Tribolium castaneum: one gene and its partners. The protein of the gene in region 3 binds, or shares a complex with, the protein of the main gene of each other region. Links are inferred from orthologs where the notes say so. Each region holds a gene or a part of one and is shown on either strand. Other genes may lie near its edges.

Region 1 (4,543 bases), on a different chromosome or scaffold from region 3:
TAACTACGAATATGGTTCATATCTGTTTCATTTCCTTTGTTCCCAGCTTTTGTACTTACGGATGTGCGATAATATAATGAAGGTTTGCACGGACATTGGTTGTTAGGCGTTATCTACTTAACGATGGTGAAATTGTTGTGAACTCTGACAGCTCACGTTGGGTGAGCAAATTTAATGTGAAACTTAACTATTATACACACATATGCTTCCATTCGTCTGACTAGATTTCAAGCAATCTAATTGTAACAAGATTACTTACTTATGCCAGACACAAAATTAATATTACTTTTCACAACCACTGACTATATTCCAATAAAATATACTTAATTAAAGACGCTTTAATTCTATTTTGATTTTATTTTCTAAAGCCATTGAGTGGTGTAAAAATTTAAACAGAAGAAAGATACTACAAAGGCTACATTTTGAAGAATTTTAACAACACCTTTTACGTTTATCATTACGAAAATTTAATTGCTAGGCCTCGCAACTACGGGGGACTACAACTATAACGAAATACAAAATCGCAGGAGTTTCTAAACCCAAAAAATAATACCGTAGAGTAAAAATTAGGGCTCTTCAAGCGTAAAACGGTCTCGGCGCCAAAACGTTTTAAATTAATTAAAATTCAACCACTTCTCTAATTACTTGGAAAAAAATTCAGAAATGTTTTAGTCTACTCTCTTAACAGACTGTGAAAAACTGACGGCTAAAGTTTATATAAGAAACATAAGAAAAAATTTTTTAAAATTTAAAATTGCGTTTCATCTCGTATTTTTCAAGACGGTGCGAGTACGGTTAAAGATACAAGAAAAATGTTTGTAGAATTTGTAGAAAATTTAATTTCCTCTAAAAAAGTCTGGAGACAATATGTTTAACGTTAATGGTTTAGACTCCAAAGTTAAAAGACGCTGAAGCGAAGGATTCGTTTGAATTGACCGGTGGTCAAGTAATGCAAAGTTAATTTATACCTAAACTGTAGAAGATAAAAATATGGTGTCCAGATTTTTTTAAAGAAAATTTAATTTTCTACAACTTTGTCCCATACACTGTTTTGCATCTTCAACCGTATTCCCAGCATTTTGATAAATATGGGACAGTGCGCAAAGAATTAACGCTCAATTTACGTTCCATTTTATATTTTTGCGAATGCTGCGAATATGGTTGAAGATACAAAAAATTGTAAAGAAGTAATTTTTTTTCAAAAAGTCTAGGACATCATATTTCTATACTTTCAACGGTTTAATTTCTGAATTTGACCACCACGGAGACCAAGAAAAAAATTAAAAAGGTATTATTTTTTATTCGTTTATTGTTTGAGCAAAATCTTAAATTCTTCCAATACTACTTTGAAGTGTATGTCAAGAAGTACTTCTCAGTATAAATTATATCGTGTTGAAAGTGTTTAAAAAAGACTGAATTACTAAAGTCTGTATTATTGGTTGCATAACATCCCAAAGTTCTCATACTTCGCGAATTTTTTTTTGTTTTTTTAACTCCATATTTGTAATAAAAATTCAACTTTAGTGCCTTACTTGACAGTGAAAAAAATATTTAAATAAAATATAATTTATTTCTTTAATCTTCAACAATTCTTACACTCTTAATAACATGTTTCACAAGACATTTCTTAACTAAAGTAACGATGTCCTTAGCAGCATTAGTAAGCATCTCAATGCCTGAACTCAAGCAAGCGTACGACAAATATCCACTCTGATAAAATTGTGAAATTTGCTCATGTGTCGCTAAAACCGACAGCACAACAATCCCGTGATTGTTTTCCTCTTCTTTAAACAGAGGAACTTGACATAAACGTTCTTCTTCTAAAGTTGGATCGACCAAAAGATGATTCCCTTGCACAGCTAAAGTCACTGACGTTATTAAATCATACATTGGAATCCCAGCATGTGCTAAGGCGACCCCAGCTGCCGTGATAGCCGCACTTAGAGCAGCCCCATCATTGTGCAGCACCATTGCGTAAATATCGACTTGAAAATTCGGAAACTCGTGCCTGAATACTGCCGATTCCAACGCTTGTTTCATAATAGCACTGAACTGTTGTTCCTCAGCGTCTTGCTGGTGCAACCTACGTTTGTGGCAGCTGAAGGGTGCAAATTTAAACTCGCAGTAGATTTCGCCCTTGGAACTGTAGTCAGTTTTGTTGGGTATCTCGCGGGGGTCGAATACAGACACGATTACTTTGGTTTGGTCTAATTCAATGTACGCTGAGCCTTTGGCCTGGCTAACAACCCCAGTTTTCAAGACTAGAAAATTAAAAATTAGATCAAGGAACACGCAAGGGCCTAAAGACAAATTACATATTTTTCGATGTTCGGTTGATGTCCTGCCATCGGCTCGTGTCCCATTCGGCTGCACTATTTCACTGAATTGGGTTTTCAACGATTTTGTATTTAATTTGTCGAATAGTTGGTACGGAATTGAAATTTCCGGACCGTTGATTCTTTTGTGATCCACGGGCATAGTGTATTTTGCAAATTATATTTTAAATCTCTCAGTTCAAGGTTATGTTAGAAAAAAGTAAGGTTATATAGCTAATTGTCAACCATTCCAAGTTCAAGGTTTACAAGTCTCACAAAGTCGAATAATAGAAAACACAATTAATTTAATTCTTTTTCATAAAAACTACGTTAGGCGCGTATTAATTTGTGCCGTTGTACAGCAACATATAGTTAGAGTAAATGTTAGACTTATTTATTCGCATTTTTGGATTTATGTTTTCTGGTGGTTCGCTTTCAAGGGGATTGTCAACAAAACGTCAAATTTGGCGCAACTTTGTGTAAACTTGTTGCTGTTGTTCTTTTTGATTGTTTACTGTTAATTAATTAATCAAGGTGAGAAATGTTACTACCTATTGATAATACGTTTATAAATAAAGATGTTTTATGAACTTATTCTTTTCAGATGTCAGATAACGAAGACGTAGGAGACGAATCTGCAAGTTCTAACACGTTTTACAAACCATCTTTCGTCCTCATTGCAATCGATACCGACCCTTCGATGTTTGTTAAAAACGAAAGCGATGGCAATACCCCGTTTAAGGATTGCATTTCTGCCTGTTATAATCTGGCAAATTCGCTAATATTTGTCCAAAATAAGCGAAGCTGGAGCCCTTTTGGTGTGGTATTGGCACGTGAAGATGCTTCAGCGTCGCTTGTCAATTTCAACGATAACATCTTACAATCAATAAAATTGCTTAAAGAAAAGAATGAATTGTCGCAGGAAAAATTGTTGGATATGTATGAAAGAAAAAGCGGCTTAAATTTGAGTTCATTTTTCCTCTTTTGCAAAAAAAAGTTCAAGGAAGTCAATTCGGTGTTCTACAAAAGAACGATCATTTTCATAACCAACGACGATAACCCCGTTCGTGGTGACAAGAACCAAAGATTTGCTGCACTTAACGAAGCAAAAAATTTCGAGTCTAATGATATCACTTTCGAGTTGGTGACCATGAAGCCCAACTTCGATTATAAAATTTTCTACAATGAGTTATTTTCAATCATTAAGAGCCCTCCCGTTGAGACAGTTGTGGAAGATGAAGATGGTTTATTTGAGAAACTTTCTTCCTCAGTTGTCAGGAGATTTTATCAAAGGAGGTTGCTGTTTTTCCCTTTTGCGAATGACCAAACACGGTTTCTTAAAATCAGGCAGAAGTCGTTTGTCCAAGAGGAACGACTTTACAACAACGCTTCCGTTTCCGAAAGTGGAAAACTTTTGAAAAAGGTTTCAAAAACAGTAAATGACTCCATTGAAACCTACAAGCTTGACTATGAGTTAGGCTCACTCGAGTTCAGTGTTAGTGAACGCTTCAAAATTAGAAACACAGACCTACCAATTGGTTACACCCTAGTTCAGGTGTCTGACAGGGTCACGGATGTGGGCATTGTTTTGACAAACCCGGTAATCATCGAGGTGGATCCTAAGGAAGAGCTGGACCTCTTTGCTAGTTTTTGGCAGTATTGTGTGGAAAAGAACAAAGTTCTTGTCTGTTTCCGAAAATTGAAAAAGCTTGATAAAATTTGTTTCGTGGAATTTATCCCGAAGTTTATGAACAATAGCAGGGTTTTTGTCGCTAAAACAATTCCATTCAATGATGATCACCAACCCATCCCAAGTGCTCTCGCCTCTGAGGAGCCAAACGAAAGTTTTTCCAAGAAAATGCTCCAAACAACCAATGAACTAATTGATAATCTAACGTTCGACTATGACCCCAAAATGTTTACCAATCCTTCCCTCACCAAGAAAAAGGCTTATTTGAGGTCCAAGCTGCTTGAAGAACCTCAGGAAGATGTTGAAGATGTTTCGCTAGACAGTGCTGCGATTGATAAGAGGTTGGGTGACTTGGGAGCAAGTTTCAAAATGTTGTTTGGTTTGGAAGAACAGACTGCGCCAAAGAGGAAGGCCCCTGCCTCTGGAAGGGGGTCAAAGAAGACAAAGACTTAATTTTATTGTAGTATTTGCTAAAGTTCCAAAAAGAACTTTTTTGCTACCTAAGTTTAGGAATTGCTCTAAACATTAATTACATAAA
Region 2 (5,043 bases), on a different chromosome or scaffold from region 3:
GACACGCTAAAGCATCTTGGAAAACCCAAAATAAATACGAAAAAACTGTAATACCGAGTAGGTTGCTATTAAAAAAATTATAAAATAATAATAACAATAATAATAATTTTTTGTTTAGTTTAGTAAGACTTTTAAAATGTAAAAAAAACATGAAAAAAAATATTTAACATTCTCAACGATTAAAGATAAGCTGATTATCGTAATTTCTCCCAACAGTTTCCTTGCCTCCTTTTTTAAGTGAATAACTGAACTGGAAAAGAGCGAATCGCGGAAGCAGGAAATGAACTACGCTAGATAAAGCAGCTGGACGAGATGAACAGACCTCATAAGATCCACTAAACTAAATTCTTTCATGCATATTTTGAATTCTCCTAATTTTTTATCTGTTTCCGAATTACTTTTGCATCGGATTGTTGCAACGAGTAGAAACCGTATACGATAATTCGTACTTCAAAACACTTATCTTATATAATTATTTTGTCCTATCGTTTTTATTCTTAATTTTCTCACATACCCACATTTTTTTCCAAAATTTTTAAGTGCATTTGGAACTGAATAGGGACACACGGACGTATTTTAGGAATAATAAAAAACGAGTTTAAAAAATTACGCTTTATGGTCGGCAACCAATTTTACGCCGGTGACTGTACGTTGCCTGGCTAAGCCAAACGTTGTATAAGTGATGATTACCTAATGCAGATGTCGCTTTTTCCCAAACAAACAAAACGCCTTAAAACCCCCTCTCAGCCCCCTCGAGGCCCCAACTCCAGTCAAATAGTGGTTTTGTGTAACCATATGATCATTTCGGTTTAATTTGGCTTTTTATTTATTGTGTCGGTGCGGTTAAAACGTCGAGTATCGTGTAAGAGATGTGCAGAACAGTCGTCCCAACTGGCATCAGCACCCAAATTATATAAATACGTACCCACTTCGAATAATGAACGGATTTAGTACGGGCGAGGAAGATTCAAGAGGACCCACTGATCAAATCTGCTGTTTGATAGACAATAGTGAACGTTGTAACAAAATCGCCGGTAATGCTTCATACAGCAAGCGCATCCAGAAGACAGTGACGCAAAGGAGGTTAAATTTGTGTATTGATAATTCAGTAAGTCGAACGCAAAGTTCAATCGGAAAATTATTGTTGTTTTGCCAGGCGAAGCATATTTACATCTGCGACTTTCACAAGATGATCATCCAGTGTGCAAGGACCAAGAGGAGGAGGAAGGATTCGGAGGATGACAGCAATGAGACGGACACTGACGTGCCAGAAGTCGACCTGTTTCAGCTAGGAGTCAACACTTTGAGGAGGTACAAAAGGCACTACAAAGTTTCCGCAAGACCTGGACTGAACAAGGCACAACTGGCAGATGTGAGTCGGTTAAAATCCACGTTTTGTATTAATTATTACATTCACAGACTCTAATGAAACACTTTAAGTCGATCCAAGTCAAGGAGAAGGAAGTTGTCACATTTTTTATTTATACAGTCAAAACAAACAGCAATAAGCTTGACCAAAAGAACGGTGTGAACAATGACGCCACTTGAAGTTAGGTCCTTAGAAGTTTTATTAAATTATTACACTTTAAGAAAAAAATGCATTTAATAAAAAACCACAAGTTATTTTTTATTTTTGACAGGCCCTAGTATCACCACATCGTCTTCCTCACTGTCTGTTAGGAGTTCGATTTGAACTGAAAAAAAAACATGATTTTAGTTTCAATTAAGTTAAGTAATACCTTTAGGTTTTTCGACTATTATTAAGTCATCGTCACTGTTATTATCAACGTCCCAGACTTCTTTCTTGTTTTCGGTCTGAGGCACATGTTCCACTGACCCTTTGTCAATAACGACCGTATTCTGGGATTGTGGCTGTGCTTTTTTATGTTTTTTATTTCTTTTCTTTTTATTCGTATGCCATGTATCAAGGCTCTGGCCAAAGACTAGAGTTGTTTTGAAATTATCTTCAGTATGAAAGCCTACCGAAGCCTTCTCTTGCCTGAAATTTAATTTATAACTCGGCAACATGTTGTTGGTTTTACCTTTGTTCAGTATCGGCCTTAACTGATTTTTTTATTTCTTCTATCACAACAGTAGCTCGAGATGTGGCTTTAGAAACTGTACTCAGGATAATACTTGGTGCAAGTTCAGCTTTTCCCCCTAAATGTAGGGCACACAGTTCTTTAAAGCCGTTGAGGCCTATTGTTAGCATTGCATCTGCGGAACCTTCCTCAAGTAGTGACGGGTCCGCAAGAATATACTCCCTAAGAGAAAAAAACTGCAAGTCCTTTTAATAAAATGCTCATTTTTTACGGATAAACGCTGCGAATACACGCAAAAAAATGTTGTAGAGAATTAAATTTCCTACAAGCAAGTCCGCAAATTGAAAATTCTAAGTGATAATTCGTGCAGCTAAAGTATTTTTTGTGGATAACATGATAATACAAGCTTTCAATTAAATTTTCAAAAGGTGTTTTACCCTCCATTAAAAATAGCGTATGTTATGCAGACTGGATAGTGGTGTATAACCGTAGGAATGGGGTCCCTTTGTTGGTAACTGTGAATGATGAATTCTTCGCCATCACAAGTGACATCGGGGCGCCTAAAATGAGTCAAAGAAGCCAACATGGCGATCGAGGCGCAGTCCAGAATATTCCCCTCATGGTTTAAAACATTAATATCCACCTTCAAAGCCCATACTTTTTCGTTGGTTTTAATGCACAATGATTCCAAATCAACAGCTTTAGAATCTTTAACACATTTTTCCAAAAGTCGGTTCAACTGCACTGACAATTCCGACTGTCTGCCCGCTTCGAAATGAGGGGCTGCCAGTGGGTTCAACTCGATATTTATGTTTAGAATTCCTTCACTAGGTCGTGAAGACTTGGGTTGTTGGATTTCGCATGATGTTTGAGCTAAAACTCTATTCCTTTACTGAAGTCAGTGTTTCATAAGTGAAGGTTACTTTGTGTTGCCGAGAGAAACGTAACAGGAACCCCACTGTTTGCCAAATTTCAGCTCTAGTGGCCTGAACTCGTCAAAACTTCGACCATCTAACCTCTAAATGGAAGATGGAATTAAATTGTAAATTAAATGTGCCGCTTTTACCCTCCACTCCGACAAGCATTTCATCAAAAACTTTCGTTCACAGTTTGTAATAAGTGTTTCCCGTACTTTCGACATTTTTATTTTCAAATTTCAAAATATTTTTTGTAACAAAGAAGTGTGGTTAGAAAAAATACATCGGCAATACAGGAATCTATATTTTAAACAATACACTTGGTGGCTTTTTACACATTTTTGCACAACAAATGGACCGGTGTTTACCACAAAATGCCTGTTATATTATCAATTTGATAATACAAACCAAATTTAATAAATAATTTACGATTTATAAAATAGGATAGAGGTCGCTAGAAAAAGACTCAAGCGGAAATTGCGTCCGCCATTTTCTTCCTCTTTAAAACGTGTTCTGTAAGGCAGGTAGGTTAAGCACAAAAATCATGTTTATTTCATAATTTTGATAAAATTGAACTACAAATAAACGTTACAGTGTTGAGATATTGGTCTTATAATAACTTGTGCCCTTTTTGCAGGTCTGAAAAATGACGAACTCGAAAGGTTATCGTAGGGGAACCCGGGACCTGTTCTCTCGGAAGTTCCGCAAGCATGGGGTTATCCCCCTGTCGACGTACATGAAAGTGTACAAAGTCGGCGATATCGTGGATATTAAGGGCAATGGAGCCGTTCAGAAGGGCATGCCCTACAAGGTGTACCATGGGAAAACTGGCCGTGTGTTCAATGTGACGGCTCACGCTTTGGGTGTGATTGTTAACAAGCGTGTTGGGGGCCGTATTATCCCCAAACGTATCAATATCCGTATTGAGCACGTGAATCACTCCAAGTGCAGGCAAGACTTCTTGACCAGAGTGAAACAAAACGAAAAATTGCGAAAAGAAGCTAAGGAGAAGAACATTCGAGTGAATTTGAAGAGACAGCCAGCACAGCCAAGGCCTGCACACATCGTCAGTGGGAAAGTACCAGCCGTTCAATTGGCTCCTATCCCATATGAATTTATTGCTTAATTTGTACGCCTTTTGTGTAATAAAGACATAAAACAAATTTGGGTGTTTGAAATGAAACGAGTCAGTGCATTTTTTCAAATATATTTATATCTAACGAATATTTACAGAATAAAAATAAAATCTGCTTAGCAGCATTTATACAGTATGTTCTAGTTTCTCATATAATATTTAAAAGTTGTATAGTATTTGTTAACAAAATAAGAAGAGTGAATTTTACTTTTTTACCGTGTAGGGGACATAATACTCGCTAAATTAGATGCACGGTTTGGTTACCACCTAAGAATTATTGCTAATTGGAATAAATATAAGGTTTGTAAAAAACAAATTAAGTAAACAAGTAAAATTCACCATACAGTCAATTATTCCTATGCTGTTCCACCACAATAAAGTAAATCTTGTTTTCAACATATCGCTATTTATTGCAACAGAACAACAAAATCAACGTCGATTCGTTTCGAAAAGTACGGGTAAATCGCTTTGAAAGAAAAATTTTAGGAAAAAAGTACGGCCGGAAACTACAATATGCAATAAATAAAATATAAATCCAACAATTTTCAGTTTCAAATCATATTTACAGACTTTTTTCATAAACATTACCCGTCCCAATGCAATGAGAGGTGACTTTGTACTTGTATTAAATCCTCTCAATGATTAAGGCAAGGAGCAGCAGAGTTCATAAACTCTCTCGAGACTGGTAAAAAAGGATGTAGCCTGTTTCTGAAGACTTTTGAGTATCAGACGTGAGGCCGTAGAAATCTTCTATTGTTGAAGCGTCTATTTTCTATTCAAAAGCACAATAATAACCATCGGGAATTCTCAAATACGCACTAAACTTACGTCAACTTGGTCGTCGTCAAACAGCAGCCAGAAACCGTGGCTCTTGACTATACTGATGTAGTGGCCTCTGTTAGGTCCGCTTCCGCAATGTATCACAACAGCTACTAAATCGTATAATCGG
Region 3 (4,577 bases):
ATAAAATCTACAAAGTCAAGTGCACGTACGATATGTCGTCGAAAAATATCACCTTCGGAATGATGCCAATCAGGTGAGAAATAAAATATGTAAAACAACTCGATCCAATTTTTTTGCAGAGATCCTGAAATGATTAGCATCACCTCAGCTCCTGAAGCGCCACCTCCAAGAATCCGCATCTTGGATAGTCGGTCTCGTGAGGTGGAAACAGTGCGAATTGGAGACAAACTCACTTTCAGGATTGAAATTCCCGAAGACAGTATGTAATTTATTTTAACCATTAAAATATTGTTATTGTTATTTTAGCACCGTATGGTATTTTTGCGCGAAGTTGTGTCGCAATGGCTAAAGATTCTAAAAGTACGTTCCAAATTATTGATGACGAAGGATGTCCGGTTGATCCCAGCATCTTTCCTGCCTTCACTCCCGACGGAAATGCTCTCCAATCAGTGTATGAAGCTTTCCGTTTCACGGAATCATACGGCGTGATTTTTCAATGCAATGTCAAGTATTGTCTGGGACCGTGCGAAGCTGTGAGTAATTAATTTTTTATGTTTATTTGTGGTGATTTTCTTGTGTTAGGCTGTGTGCGAATGGGGACGGGATTCGATCGAATCTTGGGGTAGGAGAAAGAGATCTGTGAGTAATACAACCGATGAAGAAAAGGAAGAAGACATGACTTTGAGTCAAGAGATCCTAGTTCTTGATTTTGGAGATGAGAAACAATCGCAGTTTCTCAAAAGCAGCGAATCGAGTGCTGATTTCGGTAAAGGTATTAGTGTTGGATTTCGGACGAGTTTTTATTCAATTGATTTGTTTCTAGATAAAACAGTAACGATCATTGAACCGTGCCCCACCAAGACTTCAGTGTTAGCCTTGGGTGTGACTTGTGCCTTATTAGTTCTACTTTACATCAGTACGCTGTTCTGTTACTACATGAAGAAGTGGTTAAATCCCGGGAAACACATCGCTTGAAGATTTAGAGACACTTTGGTGCTTTAATCAAGTTTGATCTTTCGGTTGAGTTGACGAGCAGCATTGTTAGTTCTGTGATATCGTTAACTCGAGATGAGATATCAAATAGGGAATTCCCCGACTCTACATTATGCAATATGTATTTTTTAAGGATTTTTTTTCGGGAAGGTGGCGGCCTTGGTGATGGAAGCTTTATTTTACCGTTGCAAAAGTTATACTTTCTTGATCTCTTATTAAAACTAATTTGCACTGACTCTCGTTCCTAGAGCAAATTTTGTAACGGTAAACAGTCTAATTCGTGTACTTATTTATTTTATTTATTTACTTTTTTGTATATATCTCGACTAGGCTAACATTATTTATATCGATTATTTTATACACGTTCTCAAGTCGAATAATAGACATTTTTTATAAGAAAAAACTATTTATTATGAATTTTCCAACATGCTTAACCTATCCTGAGTCAAAATTGCTACATCGACCATAGCTTCAGGAATCAATAATTCAGCCACTGAATATTTCTGTGATTCTTCAAAAGCATACAAAATGCTAGTATCGTACAGCATCATTTTACTTTGAATAAGCGCCAAAATACAGTTTCGAAGACGTCCAATTGTTTCTCTTTCTGGCCTTGAAACGACCTAAAAACACCACAGTAGCAAAAAAAAACAACAAAACTATTGTGAGACACAACTTGTTCCAAATTTTGCACAAAGCCACCAGCGTTATCCTCAGCATTTGAAACAGTTGGATAAATCCAAATAAACCCATTATTGCCCAAAATAATACTAGCCCCAACATAGAAATTGTGAAAATGTGTTTTGCTCCTTTTAATGAGCGAGGGAAAGACTTTAACTAAAATACCTTGAGAAAGCTACAATCAAAAATGAACGTATAATCAAAACGTAACGAAAAACACGAGACAAACTTTTCCATATTTCAAACTTCTAGTATGTAAAGATAAAGAACCATCTGAATAAACGCTCTGTACTTCGGCACTTATAAGATCGCCCTCTTGAAGATATTGTCTCATCATATGCTCGTCTTCTGCTGATCTACGCCGCTGAAATTTAATATTGCCAACTTACTTGCAAAATTAACGACCAAAAAAATCTTTTATGTACCAGTTCCCCTCCTGGTAAATTAACGGAAGACAACAACAAGACCGAATCCAGACGCGAATTCGTATCAACTTTCCAGCGTTTTTGTTGGACTTCTGTGACTCGTCCAACCACCACATCACCCACTTCACCATTATATCGACTTTTTAACGGACGAATCGAAATCAAATTATTTACTTGTTCCTTAACTCCAGCAACTGATGATTTTAAAAAACCCTCTTCTTCGTACGTACCATGCCCTCTATTTAGAAAAATCGCAAAATTTCAAAAAAAAACACGAGACAAACCTAACCTCATAAATTCATTTTGCTCCGTAATCACTTGTCCCGGAGTAAATATCTTTGGAACTCGACGGTTAACAGCAATTGAGGGGTTGATGCGATGAGCGGCAAGGCGTATGTGAATTTTTTGCGGCATGTTCTTGCAAAACACTCGAACCGCATTTGAGATTAGAAACAACAATTACTGGGTTAGGCAAGCAACAATACGCAAGTACGCAATCTATATAAAATTGTGACTTCTCTGTTATCAATCTGAATTATTATTGAAACTTGTTTTTAATTTTCTATTTTGTCGGTTTTATGTGTAATTTAATTATTAAAAGGAAATTTTTGTTTTTTGGTATTTTTAATGACTGTTGTGGTAGTCGTGCATGTCATTTGAAACATGTCATATGTGTTTTGACAATTGATAATTTTATTTAAGAAAAAATAATTGTATAATACCGGTCAGGTGAGGCAAAATTTTCTTTTCCACATTGAAATGAAAAAATTTTAAATTTGTTATTACCATAATGTAAGGCGTATTAGGAAATCAAAATTAAATTATTCTAACCTCACTTTTGCGATTTGTCTTACACACAAGTTAAAATTTATTGAAAATAATTCGTATATTGTTGTGTATTATAATAAATTGTGGTTCTCAAGGGGGAAATGATTATAATTCACAATGAATACGGGATCAACACAAGACATCGTAATTGAAGTTCTGCAAAGAGCCTCGAGTCAAAATCCAGAAGTGTTAAAACCGGCTGAAGCCAAATTACGGGAATGGGAAACTCAACCTGGATTTTACACAGTTTTATTTGTACGTATTGGGCAAAAAACACAATTAAATAATACACCATTCTTCAGAATGTTTTATCTAACCACTCGCTTGATATAAACGTACGGTGGATTGCAGTTTTGTATATAAAAAATGGTATTGAACGATATTGGAGAAAAAACGCACCAAAGTAAGTCACGCAAGTTGTAATGTACCTAACTAAAGTTAATGTCCATTTCTAGCGCTATTTTAGAGGCAGAAAAACAAAACATTAAACACGGTTTAATTTTAAGTTTTAACGAACCCGTTAGTCAGATTGCGGTACAAAGAGCGGTTTTAATTTCGAAAATTGCACGAATTGATTGTCCGAAAGAGTGGCCCGAATTATTTCCGACTTTACTACAAGTAATTGAAAGTCCTGATTCTCTAGTCCAACATCGAGGATTTTTAACTCTTCATCATGTAGTTAAAGCCATTGCTTCGAAACGGTTAACAGGCGATCGCCGTTTTTTCCAAGAGTTTTCCAGTAATATTTATTCGTTTGTGTTGAATTTATGGAATAATTTCACCGAACAATTTATGAATGATGTAATGAAAGGCGCAGCTTCGCAACTAGTTCTTACAAATTTGGAAAAAGCACTATTGACTTTGAGGATTTTACGCAAATTGACTGTTTTTGGTTTTTATAAACCGCATCAAAACCAGGATTGTATGAAGTTTTTGAAAGTGATTTTTGATCGCGCTAAAATGGCACTGCAATGCAGTGAGTAGTTTGTGTGGTTATAATTTTTTTTTCGTCACATTTGAACATTACAGGGAAACATTTGAGGGATAAAGAACTGGTGGAACAATGCGAAAAATTCATTACACACTTAACGAAAGTTTTAATATCCGTCTTGGACGTACATCCATTTTCATTCATTGATTTCATTCAACCTTCGTTCGAATTTACTACTTATTTTCTTTTCACTCCTGATGGAATTAATTTCTTGTTTGAACGCTTCATTATTCAGTGTTTTAATTTAATTAAAAATATTCTCTTGTGTGTGGAATATAAACCGCCGAAAATTCTCGAAATGTGTAAACAGGAGGAAACACTTAAAGCGCACGAGATCAAAATTAATTTTTTTCAAGCCAATACTTTAACCGAAATTTGCCGAAAATTGGTCTCGCATTATTTTATTTTGACACAAGAAGAGTTGGAAATGTGGGATGCTGATCCAGAAACGTTTGCGATTGATGAAAGTGGTGATAGTTGGAAGTATAGTTTGAGGGTAAGAACAAGAAATAATTGTGTAAATAAATTAAATACAATTTCAGCCTTGTATGGAAACTGTTTTCGTGACAATTTTTCACGAATTTCGGGACGCTTTAGCTCCGGTTTTGCTTGAAATGATTCATGAAACCAACTGTATTGTTTTACCCGAAGACACTCAA

What was found.
Region 1: Rrp4 (region 3) and exosome complex component MTR3 share a complex: the UniProt entries of both Homo sapiens proteins name them as parts of the RNA exosome core complex. The link is inferred for Tribolium castaneum from reciprocal best matches to the Homo sapiens genes EXOSC2 and EXOSC6.
Region 2: Rrp4 (region 3) and Rrp45 share a complex: the UniProt entries of both Homo sapiens proteins name them as parts of the RNA exosome core complex. The link is inferred for Tribolium castaneum from reciprocal best matches to the Homo sapiens genes EXOSC2 and EXOSC9.

The regions. Positions count from the first base shown.
Region 1 is NC_087396.1:13,654,965-13,659,507, forward strand, and holds exosome complex component MTR3, read right to left. Parts: upstream 2,619-4,543; 5' UTR 2,479-2,618; coding exon 2,316-2,478; intron 2,262-2,315; coding exon 1,576-2,261; 3' UTR 1,551-1,575; downstream 1-1,550. Other genes in the region: X-ray repair cross-complementing protein 6, read left to right, coding at 2,920-4,458. UniProt on the Homo sapiens protein: Non-catalytic component of the RNA exosome complex which has 3'->5' exoribonuclease activity and participates in a multitude of cellular RNA processing and degradation events.
Region 2 is NC_087402.1:3,055,406-3,060,448, forward strand, and holds Rrp45 (uncharacterized protein Rrp45), read right to left. Parts: upstream 3,331-5,043; 5' UTR 3,184-3,330; coding exon 3,109-3,183; intron 3,061-3,108; coding exon 2,966-3,060; intron 2,924-2,965; coding exon 2,480-2,923; intron 2,265-2,479; coding exon 2,043-2,264; intron 2,000-2,042; coding exon 1,740-1,999; intron 1,695-1,739; coding exon 1,621-1,694; 3' UTR 1,551-1,620; downstream 1-1,550. Other genes in the region: histone deacetylase complex subunit SAP30 homolog, read left to right, coding at 938-1,108, 1,157-1,372, 1,420-1,548; RpL21 (large ribosomal subunit protein eL21), read left to right, coding at 3,606-4,085; Usp12-46 (ubiquitin carboxyl-terminal hydrolase 46), read right to left, coding at 4,759-4,866, 4,923-5,043. UniProt on the Homo sapiens protein: Non-catalytic component of the RNA exosome complex which has 3'->5' exoribonuclease activity and participates in a multitude of cellular RNA processing and degradation events.
Region 3 is NC_087397.1:169,502-174,078, forward strand, and holds Rrp4 (exosome complex component RRP4), read right to left. Parts: upstream 2,595-4,577; 5' UTR 2,514-2,594; coding exon 2,389-2,513; intron 2,338-2,388; coding exon 2,100-2,337; intron 2,039-2,099; coding exon 1,904-2,038; intron 1,850-1,903; coding exon 1,670-1,849; intron 1,617-1,669; coding exon 1,404-1,616; 3' UTR 1,380-1,403; downstream 1-1,379. Other genes in the region: uncharacterized protein tyn, read left to right, coding at 1-73, 120-259, 307-533, 583-772, 824-975; Impbeta11 (importin-11), read left to right, coding at 3,045-3,182, 3,230-3,330, 3,383-3,903, 3,957-4,414, 4,461-4,577. UniProt on the Homo sapiens protein: Non-catalytic component of the RNA exosome complex which has 3'->5' exoribonuclease activity and participates in a multitude of cellular RNA processing and degradation events.